Linked DNA regions of Callithrix jacchus. The protein of the gene in region 2 interacts with the protein of the main gene of each other region in a pairwise test. Links are inferred from orthologs where the notes say so. Each region holds a gene or a part of one and is shown on either strand. Other genes may lie near its edges.

What was found. The genes of interacting proteins can lie anywhere in the genome.
Region 1: the proteins of CCDC172 (region 2) and HDDC3 interact in binary tests that used the Homo sapiens proteins (3 or more experiments, as listed by UniProt). The two-hybrid records come from large-scale screens. The link is inferred for Callithrix jacchus from reciprocal best matches to the Homo sapiens genes CCDC172 and HDDC3.
Region 3: the proteins of CCDC172 (region 2) and DCTN2 interact in binary tests that used the Homo sapiens proteins (3 or more experiments, as listed by UniProt). The two-hybrid records come from large-scale screens. The link is inferred for Callithrix jacchus from reciprocal best matches to the Homo sapiens genes CCDC172 and DCTN2.

Annotation. Positions count from the first base shown.
Region 1 is NC_133507.1:19,505,288-19,508,614, forward strand, and holds HDDC3 (guanosine-3',5'-bis(diphosphate) 3'-pyrophosphohydrolase MESH1), read left to right. Parts: upstream 1-1,150; 5' UTR 1,151-1,174; coding exon 1,175-1,286; intron 1,287-1,599; coding exon 1,600-1,655; intron 1,656-1,765; coding exon 1,766-2,006; intron 2,007-2,303; coding exon 2,304-2,434; 3' UTR 2,435-2,782; downstream 2,783-3,327. UniProt on the Homo sapiens protein: ppGpp hydrolyzing enzyme involved in starvation response.
Region 2 is NC_133513.1:109,276,276-109,280,027, forward strand, and holds the start of CCDC172 (coiled-coil domain-containing protein 172), read left to right. Parts: upstream 1-884; 5' UTR 885-969; intron 970-1,417; 5' UTR 1,418-1,482; coding exon 1,483-1,561; intron 1,562-1,772; coding exon 1,773-1,858; intron 1,859-3,752.
Region 3 is NC_133510.1:62,151,580-62,155,331, reverse strand, and holds the start of DCTN2 (dynactin subunit 2), read right to left. Parts: upstream 2,583-3,752; 5' UTR 2,468-2,582; coding exon of another isoform or gene 2,432-2,467; intron 1,506-2,431; coding exon of another isoform or gene 1,499-1,505; coding exon 1,437-1,498; intron 1-1,436. UniProt on the Homo sapiens protein: Part of the dynactin complex that activates the molecular motor dynein for ultra-processive transport along microtubules. In the dynactin soulder domain, binds the ACTR1A filament and acts as a molecular ruler to determine the length.

The DNA.
Region 1 (3,327 bases), on a different chromosome or scaffold from region 2:
TTCCAGGCTGCCATGGAAGCTCTGGGAATTCTGACTCTTCTATTTCAGGTCCCAGAGACCTCAGTTCCAGCATGTGGCACTCCCCTCCCTAACCTCTGCGACATGGCAACCACCAAGACTAGCTGAAAACCGAGGGTGAGTCCTTTCATTAGCTTTTCCCCTGAGCTGCATCTGCCCCGGCTACCAGCCAGAACACAAAAGCTTCCTGTCTGATTAGCGTATACTTAACTAATAGCAAACCCCTTCTCACAGAGCAGTTCTATGAGAATCATCAGGCCTCTCTTACCCCTCATACCTCATAGCTGCTGAGGCAGGGAATTTTTCCAGAAGGCCCAAGGCTACCAGCCAGCAGAATTAAGTGTCATTCCAGTGTCTACCCAGGCCTGACAACATCGTGCTCCCAGAACAGCACTGATAACACTCATAACCACAGGGGCCTACAGAAGGTGCCTCGAGACTGAAATAGGAGCACTCATGGCACAAGAAGGCAATGCAAATTTCATAAGCAACACTGAGGACAAAGGCAGTTTCTGCAGAAATGTCATGGCTACCTGGGAGCCCAAGTCTGAAGGAATTAGGCAGGGATCCCAGAGAAGGCTCTGATTTTTCAGGTCAGGCCCTAGGATCTCCTAGGTCCAAAGGTGAGGCTCCCCTGCCGAGAGAACCTGGCCCGTCACTGCAGGGAGAACTATTTTTAGAACACTTAAAGCGTTTTCAGAGCTTTGACAGGTTGAAGATTGTCTGTTCATGGAGGGGGCTTCTGGGAGAAGCTGCCTCTGGCTCTGAGGCTAGCTGGATTGACCTTTCTTCCCATTCCCGTAGTCACCTGAGCCTTCCCACCCTGGATTCAGTGCACGGTGAGGCCACTGCCTTATTTCTTGTCTGTCTTACTCTTTTCCACAGACTGTAGGCTCCCAGAGAGCCAGGCTTATGTTCTTCTTGCACCCCCAACAGAGCACACTGAGCTAGGGGCCGCGATGCTGAAGGCAGCTTCGCACATCGCTTGCTCTCTGCACGGGGCATGTCAGCTCCGAAGGAATCCACCTGGGCCAGGTCCAACTCAGGCCGCTGAATTCGCCTCCATGATCCCCCCCGGGCCTCCCTGGCGCCAGAGGGCGCTGTAAATACTCCGTGGAGGTTCCCCGCGGCTGCAGTCTCCCGCCGCATCCGCGCGATGAGCTCCGAGGCGGCGCAGCTGCTGGAGGCTGCCGACTTCGCAGCTTACAAGCATCGTCAGCAGCGGCGGAAGGACCCGGAGGGGACCCCCTACATCAACCACCCCATCGGTGGGCACCTCGGCCGCGGGGCACCGGCTGCGGCGCCTGGGGGGCGGGGACTGGGAAGGAGACGTGGGGGGCGTCCACCTCGTTGAGCATCTATTTTGTCCCAAGCATAGTGCGATATTTAAGCCTCACAACAATTGGAGCGGTAGTCGTGATCGTTCCCTTTGCCGGTCTACACCGAGAGGGTAAAGAACTTAACCAAGGTCACCCAGCTAGTGAGAGGCCACAAGGGGCCACATCTGGCTCTCCGAAACCCACAACACACAGCCCTGGAGCTCCCCCGGAGCTGACTTCCTGCTTTGCCCCTCCCCGTCAGGTGTGGCTCGGATCCTGACCCACGAGGCGGGAATCACTGACATTGCAGTGTTACAGGTAACTTCCCCACTTCTCTGCCAGGAGTCTGGGATAGGGATCGGGGGCCCCATTCAGCAATGGGCATCCCTTGGCTAGCATCTCAGGGCTGAATGGGAACTTGTCCCCAGGCAGCCCTGCTCCATGACACGGTGGAGGACACAGACACCACTCTGGATGAGGTGGAGCTACACTTTGGGGCACAGGTGCGGTGCCTGGTGGAGGAGGTAACAGATGACAAGACTCTGCCCAAGCTGGAGAGAAAGCGGCTGCAGGTGGAGCAGGCGCCCCACAGCAGCCCCGGGGCCAAACTGGTGAAGCTGGCAGACAAGCTGCACAATCTGAGGGACCTGAATCGCTGCACCCCAGAGGGTACGCTTTCCTATGGGTTCTAAGGGAAAGGGGAGGGGGATGCCACCTTCTGAAGGCACAGGTTGGTCAGTTCCCCTGAAAAACTCTGGGCATTCTTAATTCCCAAATTAATTCTACTATACCACTCTTGATCTGCCTTCCTATGGTCAAAATACAATAGCTGAGCCACAGGCAAGTTTTTGGGACAGCTCATCCCATCAGGAACTCATGGCCTTGAACCAAGCTTGCCAGGAAGCAGGCAAAAGGCAGTGCTGTCTTTGACATCAGGCTAGCAGGTTTCTGCCGATTCTTATGCAGGATGGTCAGAACAGCGAGTCCAGGAATACTTTGAGTGGGCAGCGCAGGTGGTGAAGGGGCTTCAGGGAACAAACCAGCAACTGGAAGAGGCTCTAAAACGTCTGTTCCAGCAGCGGGGACTGACACTCTGAGCAGTGCTTGGAGCTCTTCAGCAGCACAACTCCAGCCTCGTCCAGGCCGGACAGGATTCACGCACCTTTTCTGTGCCTCCTGTGCTCCCTCCATCCTTCCCAGATACCAGAGGCCAAAAAAAGACTTGCATTTTTTCTCAATCTGAAGGTCTCCTGCTAACTAAGCTGAGCCCCCTGAGTGTGGGAATAAGATGTACCCATCCATTTCTGATGCACTCGCTGCCTCTCCCCAAGTCTTGGGTCTGTTTGCTATTTTGCATGGTGGGATCTCTGTTCCCTCAGGGACTTGAGATTATGTAAGTACTAGTTCCTAAGTCATTATGGTCAATAAAAAGAACTATGGGTAAAGGTGTAAATTGCTGCTGTTCCTTCTCCAGCCTCCTGGGTTGGGGACTGGTAGGCTGCATACCTGTCCTTCAGCAAAGCAGGGTTCTAATTGTGTGTCCCTGCATCACCTCCCTCAGGTTGGGGGTTTAGCCCCTCCGAGCCTAGCTTCCTTATCAGTGAGATGGGTTGTGTAATTATCAGGTTAGACTGTGAGGTGCCTGATGGAGCCTGACACATAGGTGCTTGTAGGGCTGTTGGCCCCACAGGGTTGTGGGGTGTCCCTTATGCTGTGCTGAAGTGCAGGATCCAAGAAATAGACAGGACACTGAAGAACTGGTGAAGGGCATCTGGACTTGGGGGGGCCACGCCACCTGAGGGGAGACAGGCAAGGCCCCGAACATGCAGAAGCATCTATTCATTAGGTACAGGCAGGGGGAAGGGTAGTAAGTGAGGTTATCATCTATAGGCTTAGTGATAGGGCATACATAATCACGTGAGACACAAGTGAGGGGGCCACCCCGTTATGTTACCTGGGCAGAGAGGTGGGCCATGTGCAGTAGGGGGCC
Region 2 (3,752 bases):
TAAACTGTTAATATGTACTTCTAAATAATATGCTTATGGGCAGTTCTTTTCTGCTTTGTATACCTTTCAGTATTTATTCTTTTAAAATAAAGCCAAAGAATTAAGTTTTATGCATATGTGGCTTGATGGAAATTAAGGTGGAAATTTGGAATAAGTTAAAATGCATAACTGATTAGACTACATCATTAATGAAACATTAATTAAGCCTATTGTGAGGTGGCAGAATTAACATTTACCTTATTTTACTTAATTTTAAACACATTCTAGCAAATTACTTTTTAAAGTGCAACCAACATCAATTTTACATTCAGAAATAAAGTCAAACGTTTATTTTACTTAATTTTAAATAAATTCTAACAAATTACTTTTTAAAGTTCAACCAACGTCAATTTTACATTCAAAAATAAAGTCAAATGTTTATTATAATGTCAGTATTTCAACCTACTAAAACTAAAAATATTTTAATTTTTGATTTAAAAAAATCCCACGCAAAAGTCCCAAAGGTGCCTTTCATGTTTAAGCTTTAATTAGCAACCACTTTGTGCTCTGACACATATTGCGCAGATATTGAAGTGTTAATATTACTGCAGCTTGATTACAAAAGGCAATGATTAATTTTAAAGCAGACAAAAAAGATATGCCCTGATTACAAAGGAATGATTAAGGCGGAATGTCAGACATTGCACATTTATAGCAGTCTTTGCCATCGTCAAAGGAAAAGACTTTGTGCAAGTTTATATTTAGAATCATAGTTACTCTGTGCTTTATAATATTGGGTATTTATGCCTTGGATACCGAGCATCTCAACTGCAACTGGGCCTAAGACCTTCGGGGCTCACGTGCCCAGGGCAAACCCGCTGACCGCAGGATGGGCCAAACGAGCCGCCGTAGTTTAGGTTCTCACAGGCAAAGCTGGACCTGAGGCGCTGGCCCTTGGCATACGGAAGGTTTTGGCCCCGGGTTTTGTTGGCAAGTATCATTTTGCTTAAAGACAGAGCACTTTGAGGACATTATCCCTAAAATGAGAGAGGACTGGGATTAAAGGGCTGACTACAGAAAGGGCTGTTGCCCACACGCCCTCAAAAGCCAAGGTCTGCTATTTTTATTGCCACCAAAGCGAAGACAAACCCGTAGGGGGACGGGGGCCTGCGTCAGGGGTTCCACCAGGGAAAAAGGCAGACCTTGAACCTGCCCTCTTAGGGCGTGAGGGAGAAAAGCCCGGTTTGTAAACTGTAACGGGAAACCAAGGCTGAGGGCAGGAAGGGGCGGCAGCGGCCGGCGTCCCTGGACCCTCAGACCCCGCAGACTCCGTCCGGCGTCGGCTCCATCTTCTTGCTGGGCCGGCGACCGAGAGTTGGACAAAGGCCTATCTGGGAATAGTTCTAGAAGACTCCATCTTCTTTATTGTGCTTTCCAGGATCCTCAGGGTTGGTCATAAAATCTTGAAGGGAGAGAAAAGGATCGCAGGAGCCAGGCCCTGAGATGAGCTTGGAGTCCCTGTTTCAGCACATCATCTTCACCGAGCATCAAGCGGAGGAGAGTCGCCGTTTGATGCGAGAAGGTCGGGGGATTTCTGTCCTTTGCATGGGGCCTTTCGTCTTCTGGTGCTGGGTGCTTGGAGCAGAAGGAAATCCCGTAGGCAGTGGTCAGAGCCCTTAGGGGAGCTTGCTTGTCATGCTGAGGGAAAGACAGCTGAAAGGTGGCTTCTCAAACGCCGCCAACATCGGACTTTAGAAAGATCTATGTGTTTAAAAATTTAATTTTTGTTATAGTGAGGTTGGAAATAACCAGATGTCGTGAAAAAATTGAGAAAGCAACGGAGAAGCTGAATGAAGAGAAAATCGAGCTGGAATCTAAGGTATTGAAATGTAGAGCATACTAATTATTACTTGAGAAAGCCTGCCTTCACTTGACTTTTGGGGATATTTCACTGTTTAACCAGCTGTCCTTCAGGTAGGAAGCACACTACTTTTGTGCTGGCTGTTTTAGTTCCATGTTGCCTGGTAATGTTGAAAGTTCTGAATCCAGTGACCCCTTCAGTTCCAATATGAATTTGCCCTAAAGAATCTAAGGTAATGAAGAATTCGTTGTTTATTTTGTGGGATGGTTAAGGTTTTAAAAGAGCACAATGTCATTAGAAGAATCATTATGTTACTTAAAAAGTAGGTGCAGTATATACATTTTGAATGATAATTTGTGTGCTACGTTGATATAACAATTGTATGTAACTTTCAAAACAAGCCCCTGCCTTTTGTTTTAAAATTCTCTGCCACATTTTAGACATGCCTGGCATCCAAACTATGTTTTCCACTAGCATTCCTCTCTTTCCTGCAGTGTTTGTAAAGTTCTGTTATTTTAAATAGAAGCAAGAGAGTCTGATGGCTTTTGAAGGAGGATTTTGAAGGGTGGATAGAATTTTTGAAGAGGCAAACAGAAGGAAGTAGCAGGAGAAAAGCATTCCAGACAGAGAGGAGGCAAATATGATCCAGTGCGTATGTTAAAGGAATCTAGTCAAACCAGAGGGCTGATATCTGGGAATAGCAGAAAACCACTGCAAATTTCTGATCGGGGAACAGTAAAAGTGGTTTTAGGTAGCCCAGTATGGTGGCATGTGCTTTTAGTTCCAGTTACTTAGGAGGCTAAAGTGAGAAGACAGTTTGAACCCAGGAGTTTAAGGCCATCCTGGGCAACATAGGGAGACCTCGTATTTAAAAAAAAAAGGTAGCTTTAGGAAGATCTTTCTGACCTCTGATTGTCAAGATGGGAATAGATTATTAGGAAGCAAAGAACATTATTTAAGTGTGCCACAATGAAGACCTTGCTATGGGTGGGGACAGAGTTATTCAAAATTATTTATTAAATAACCAATGATGAACTAAACAAGCAATGTGTAATGTGAAGTCTGTTTGAGGAAGTTTTTTTGCTTCAAATATATCTATTTTAGCTTACCACTGTGGGGAATTTTCAGATTTCTTTGAGAATGAAATAATCAGAGAACATTACTCCATCCAGCGAACATTTCTCCATCAGCTCTTCTTTCCAGGTGTTGCTCAAACATGACCAATAAAGCCTTCCCATAGACATCTTGGTAAAATGATACATACCTGTATTTGTGTTTGCATCCCCCACTATTTTGTGAGCAACATATGTGGAATTTTTTCCTTATCCATCTTTTATTCCCACTGCTTGTTATCTAACACTTAGTATATCATATACAGTAGTGTGTTGAAAGAATTAATTAGTACTAATAGTTTGATAGATAATAGGGAGAGTCTTTGAAAATATAATTTGTAGCTATCATTCGGAGAAAATGCCTACCATTGTTTAGAAACATTTGTTGAAATTTCTAATTAATATCATAAGCATGCATTGCTTTTTAACCAGCTCATATATGTGGGTAATAATACATTTGTATCTAACAAAATTAACAGATGAGGCTCACAGTTCATACAATACTAATTTATAATTGAATAGTTCGATTTATAATTATAGTCAAGATGGTATTTATATGTGCATAAAGAATTAAAAGTAGAACCACAATTATAATGCAAATGACTAATGGAAGAACTGAAGATGTAAGCCTAAATTGATTTCTTGTTTCTTTTATTCTGAGTTAATTATATGTCTGCCAATAACAATGAAAATATATTTACTTGGCATTTATTGACCCATTTATCAAATGGCAGCAGCAGAAGGAGAAATTGTTAGTAGAACTTAATTTGAATTCAGCAGTACTTGAGCTATGGTACAGG
Region 3 (3,752 bases), on a different chromosome or scaffold from region 2:
GCCTTGGCCTCCCAAAGTGCTGGGATTACAGGCATGAGCCACAACGCCCAGCCTATCTTTCATTTTTTAAAAAATGTTTTCCATTAATGGTTGGTTGAATCCATGGGTTTGGAACCCTCAAATACAGAGAGCCAACTGTATACTCTCCTATTCTGTGAGGACAGAGACAGCTTCCTGTAAGACACCTCTTTGAGGGACAGGTGCACACCCAGGTCCTTGAGCAACATCAGCTCTATTATCTACAAGATACTCAAGCTTGGGGGATAGATTGGCATGCCAACAAATATGGAAGCCACAAGGATCACACCACTGGGAGAAGGAACAGGGAAGGTGTTTCCCACAATGTAAGAACCACTTCCACATAGGGGAGTCAAATAAGAAATAAGTGAGTACGCCAAGCCATACATTGTAAGCCAGCAGTCAGCATTCCCCAGAACTAACCAGCCCCACAGACATAGCCACAGGACTTACAGACAAGCATACTGAGCCTGCATATTGCAATGACTCTTGGACACACCTTTACTGAGAACTCACATCATCAATGTGATCATAGCCCAGCTCTCTTCAGAAATAATAGAACCAAAAACACATGCTATAAGACATGCTAGTAGATCTCTGTCCCCCTTGACACTTAGAGTTTTTACTATGTTGATTTCCATTCACTCAGTTTTGGTTTGTTTCCTTCCATATGTTTCCTATATGTATCCTAACTCTCCATTAGTCTGGGGCTCACTGGGGGGCATCGACATTTCTTTCTCTGCGTTGCACAAAAACAAACAAACACAGAGTGAACACATCAATAAAGCATACTAAGTGTTCCCCTCATAGCTGAAATACGTCCACACCTAATTACTCCATCCACAGAGTTTTTGGATCTAAAAATGCAACCAGTCTCACCTTCCTTGACGTGAAATATTTACATTCTTCCTCAAATTTGTTTTGCTATAAAGTCTTGAAATCACTTTCTTAATTCCTTGCCAAATGGCTACTGGATATTCATATTTAAAAAGTATTTTTCCATATTATATTTCAGAGTCTAGTTCTTGGTAGCAACTAGTAAGGCCTACTTCCTAACCTCAGGCAGTTTATTAAAAGTGCTCAGGCTTCATGATTCATTTCCATGGATTAGAACTCAGAGCCTAAGTCACTAGCCCCCAAACCTGTTTTGAGATATTTCAATGTTATTTAAAAGGCCCAAGGATGAGGGCTTTGCAAACAAATGTTGTTCGCTTTAATTCCACTTGACTCTCCCTCCTGCCTGCCGTTACTGGTGGTTGCAAGCCCAGCATGGCCTCTGCAAGCCCTGCAACTATATACCACTCAGGCTGGGGTTGGCATACCCGCTTATTGCTGTAGCTCCCCAGAGAAAGGGAAGGACCTGTCTAGGGGAGAAAGGTCAGAGTCCAGAGGAGTCCTGTGGCAGCACATATTCTTACCGCATCGAACTCCGCTTGATCATCCTCAGGTAGGTCGCTGGTTTCATAAACATCTGGCTCATTCCTGGCCTGCAGGTAGAAGCAGTGACCACCCAATCTCACTACCCAGCATCCAACAACACCCCTTACCCCACTCCCTTTGAATAAGCTAACGGAGAAGACAGAGTGTGATGCCAGGGTTCTGTCCTTTCTCCTCCACCAGCCCTGTGAGTCAACAGTATGTCAGGTCCCCTGCCTCAAGGGGTAGGGATAACAGAGGAAACAGTTGGGACCTGACAGTAAACAGTGACTGTAACTGATAACAACGATGTTACCCTAAATCTAGAGGCGGGCAGGTCCTTGGCAATCAGTATTGCCAAAGAAGGTGAGGGCTATCCTCCAATTAGGCCCAGTACACCACTTCCTGGCACAAGGATTGAGAGTGAGTGACTCAGAACCTTAGTACCCAAGGTCCTGTGTCCCAACCCCCACCTTGAGAAGCAAGCAGGGCAGCACAAAAGGAAGGTACCCGCCAGGATTGTCATGGAGGCGGGGGCGAGGGCACAGGTTCCCCCAAGGATAGAGCTCCCTATCTGGCACAAGAGGGTTCTACCACAGTAACCTCTTCCTTGGCAGGATGAAGGCCATCACTAAGTGGCCTGGTGTGTGTGTATGGGGTAGGGATGTAGGGGTCTTATGGAGAGGTTTTGGGGGGCACGGGCGGCGTTGACATGGATGGTGGAAACACTCGGACACAAGCGGTCAGTGCCCGGAGAAGATATCTGGGTCGAGCTACCGGCGCCTGCCGGAAAGGTGGCCTGGTGCGCCGTGCGGCGGCCCGGCCCAGTTGGGTCAGAAGAGTTCGGAGGGTGCTGCGGCCGGTCGGAGAGAGAGCGGCGGGAGACCTTGGGCGGAGGATGGGCTGCAGGTGGAAGGGGTCGCGGACTGGATTCTGTTGGGGGTCCTTGGGAAGTCGGGGGCGCGGTCCTGGGGAGCCGGTGCCGGCCTGTACTCACAATGCCGGGAAGGTCGGCGTATTTAGGGTCCGCCATGGCGGCGGCGAGACAGGGCTGGGGGACCCGGGCCTCAGTAGAGCCGGGGACGGTGTTCGGGTAGGGGAGAGGCTGGGTTCAGGTCCCCGGCTAAGGCGGCGGCAAAGGGAGCGGCAGATGAGCAGGAAGTCTCGCGACAGGAGTAGCACAGCAGAAGGGTAGAGCAAAAGTCGCGAGAACAGCCACGCTGCCTCACCCCTGGAGAGACCAGGATTGGGGAGAACGAGGCCAGGGAATGAGGTAATGGCCAGGGGACGCCGCCTAGGATTGTGGGATGTGTAGTTTTGGTGTACCTGGGCTTGGGCGGTGAGCCACAACGAACCTTGGGGAGCTATTTCATCCAGCGTTCTCTCTCTCACTTTTACAGCAAGTCAGTGAAAGGACATTTATAATTCCTGTTTTGGGCTCCCAGGAATTAAATGACTAGATTAAATCATACAGCTAGTCATATTGTGACACAGCCAGGGTTTCAAAAACAACAAGAACTTTGCTGGATACTGCTTCTTATAAAAATAAAACAAAAATAACAATAAGTAAAATTTAGTAAATGCTTAGTGTATGTTAGGAATGAAAAAGTTAGGCAATCTTCTCAAGTAAGGGCTTTCAGATCATTTGAATTTCAGATAAGAAGTAGGTGTGTGTAGTATGGTGTGTGTGTGTATACTAACACAAAAAAAAATTATGTTCAAAAAATTTTTTTCTTATTTATTTATTTAGAGATAGAGTTTCACCATGTTAGCTAGGCTGGTCTTGAACTCCTGACCTCAGGTGATCAGCCCGCCTCAGCCTCCCAAAGTGCTGGGATTACAGGCATGAGCCACTGGGCCTGGCCCTGAATTCAAATTAAGCTGAGCATCCTGTTTTTGTTTTTTGTTTTTCAAATCTGGCAATCCTATCTGAAGTTCATAAATAGGTAAGCGGTGTCTCCATGTCTGTCTGAACACTTCGTGCTCTTAACCATTTCGTTTATAGTTCTCAGACTTTAATTTATTTTTAAATTTTTAAAAATTTTAAAATTTTGTGGATACACAGTAGACATATGTATTTATGGGACACATGAGATATTTTGATACAGGTATGCAACGTGAAATGACCATATCATGGAGAAGAGGGTATCCATCCTCTCAAGCATTTATCTTTTAAGTTACAAATAATCTAATTATACGCTTAAGTTATCTAAAAATGTACAATTAAGTTATTCTTGACTATAGTCAGCCTACTGTGTTATCGAATAGTTGGAATTATACTTTCTATTTTTTTTGTACCCATTCACCATCCTTACTTC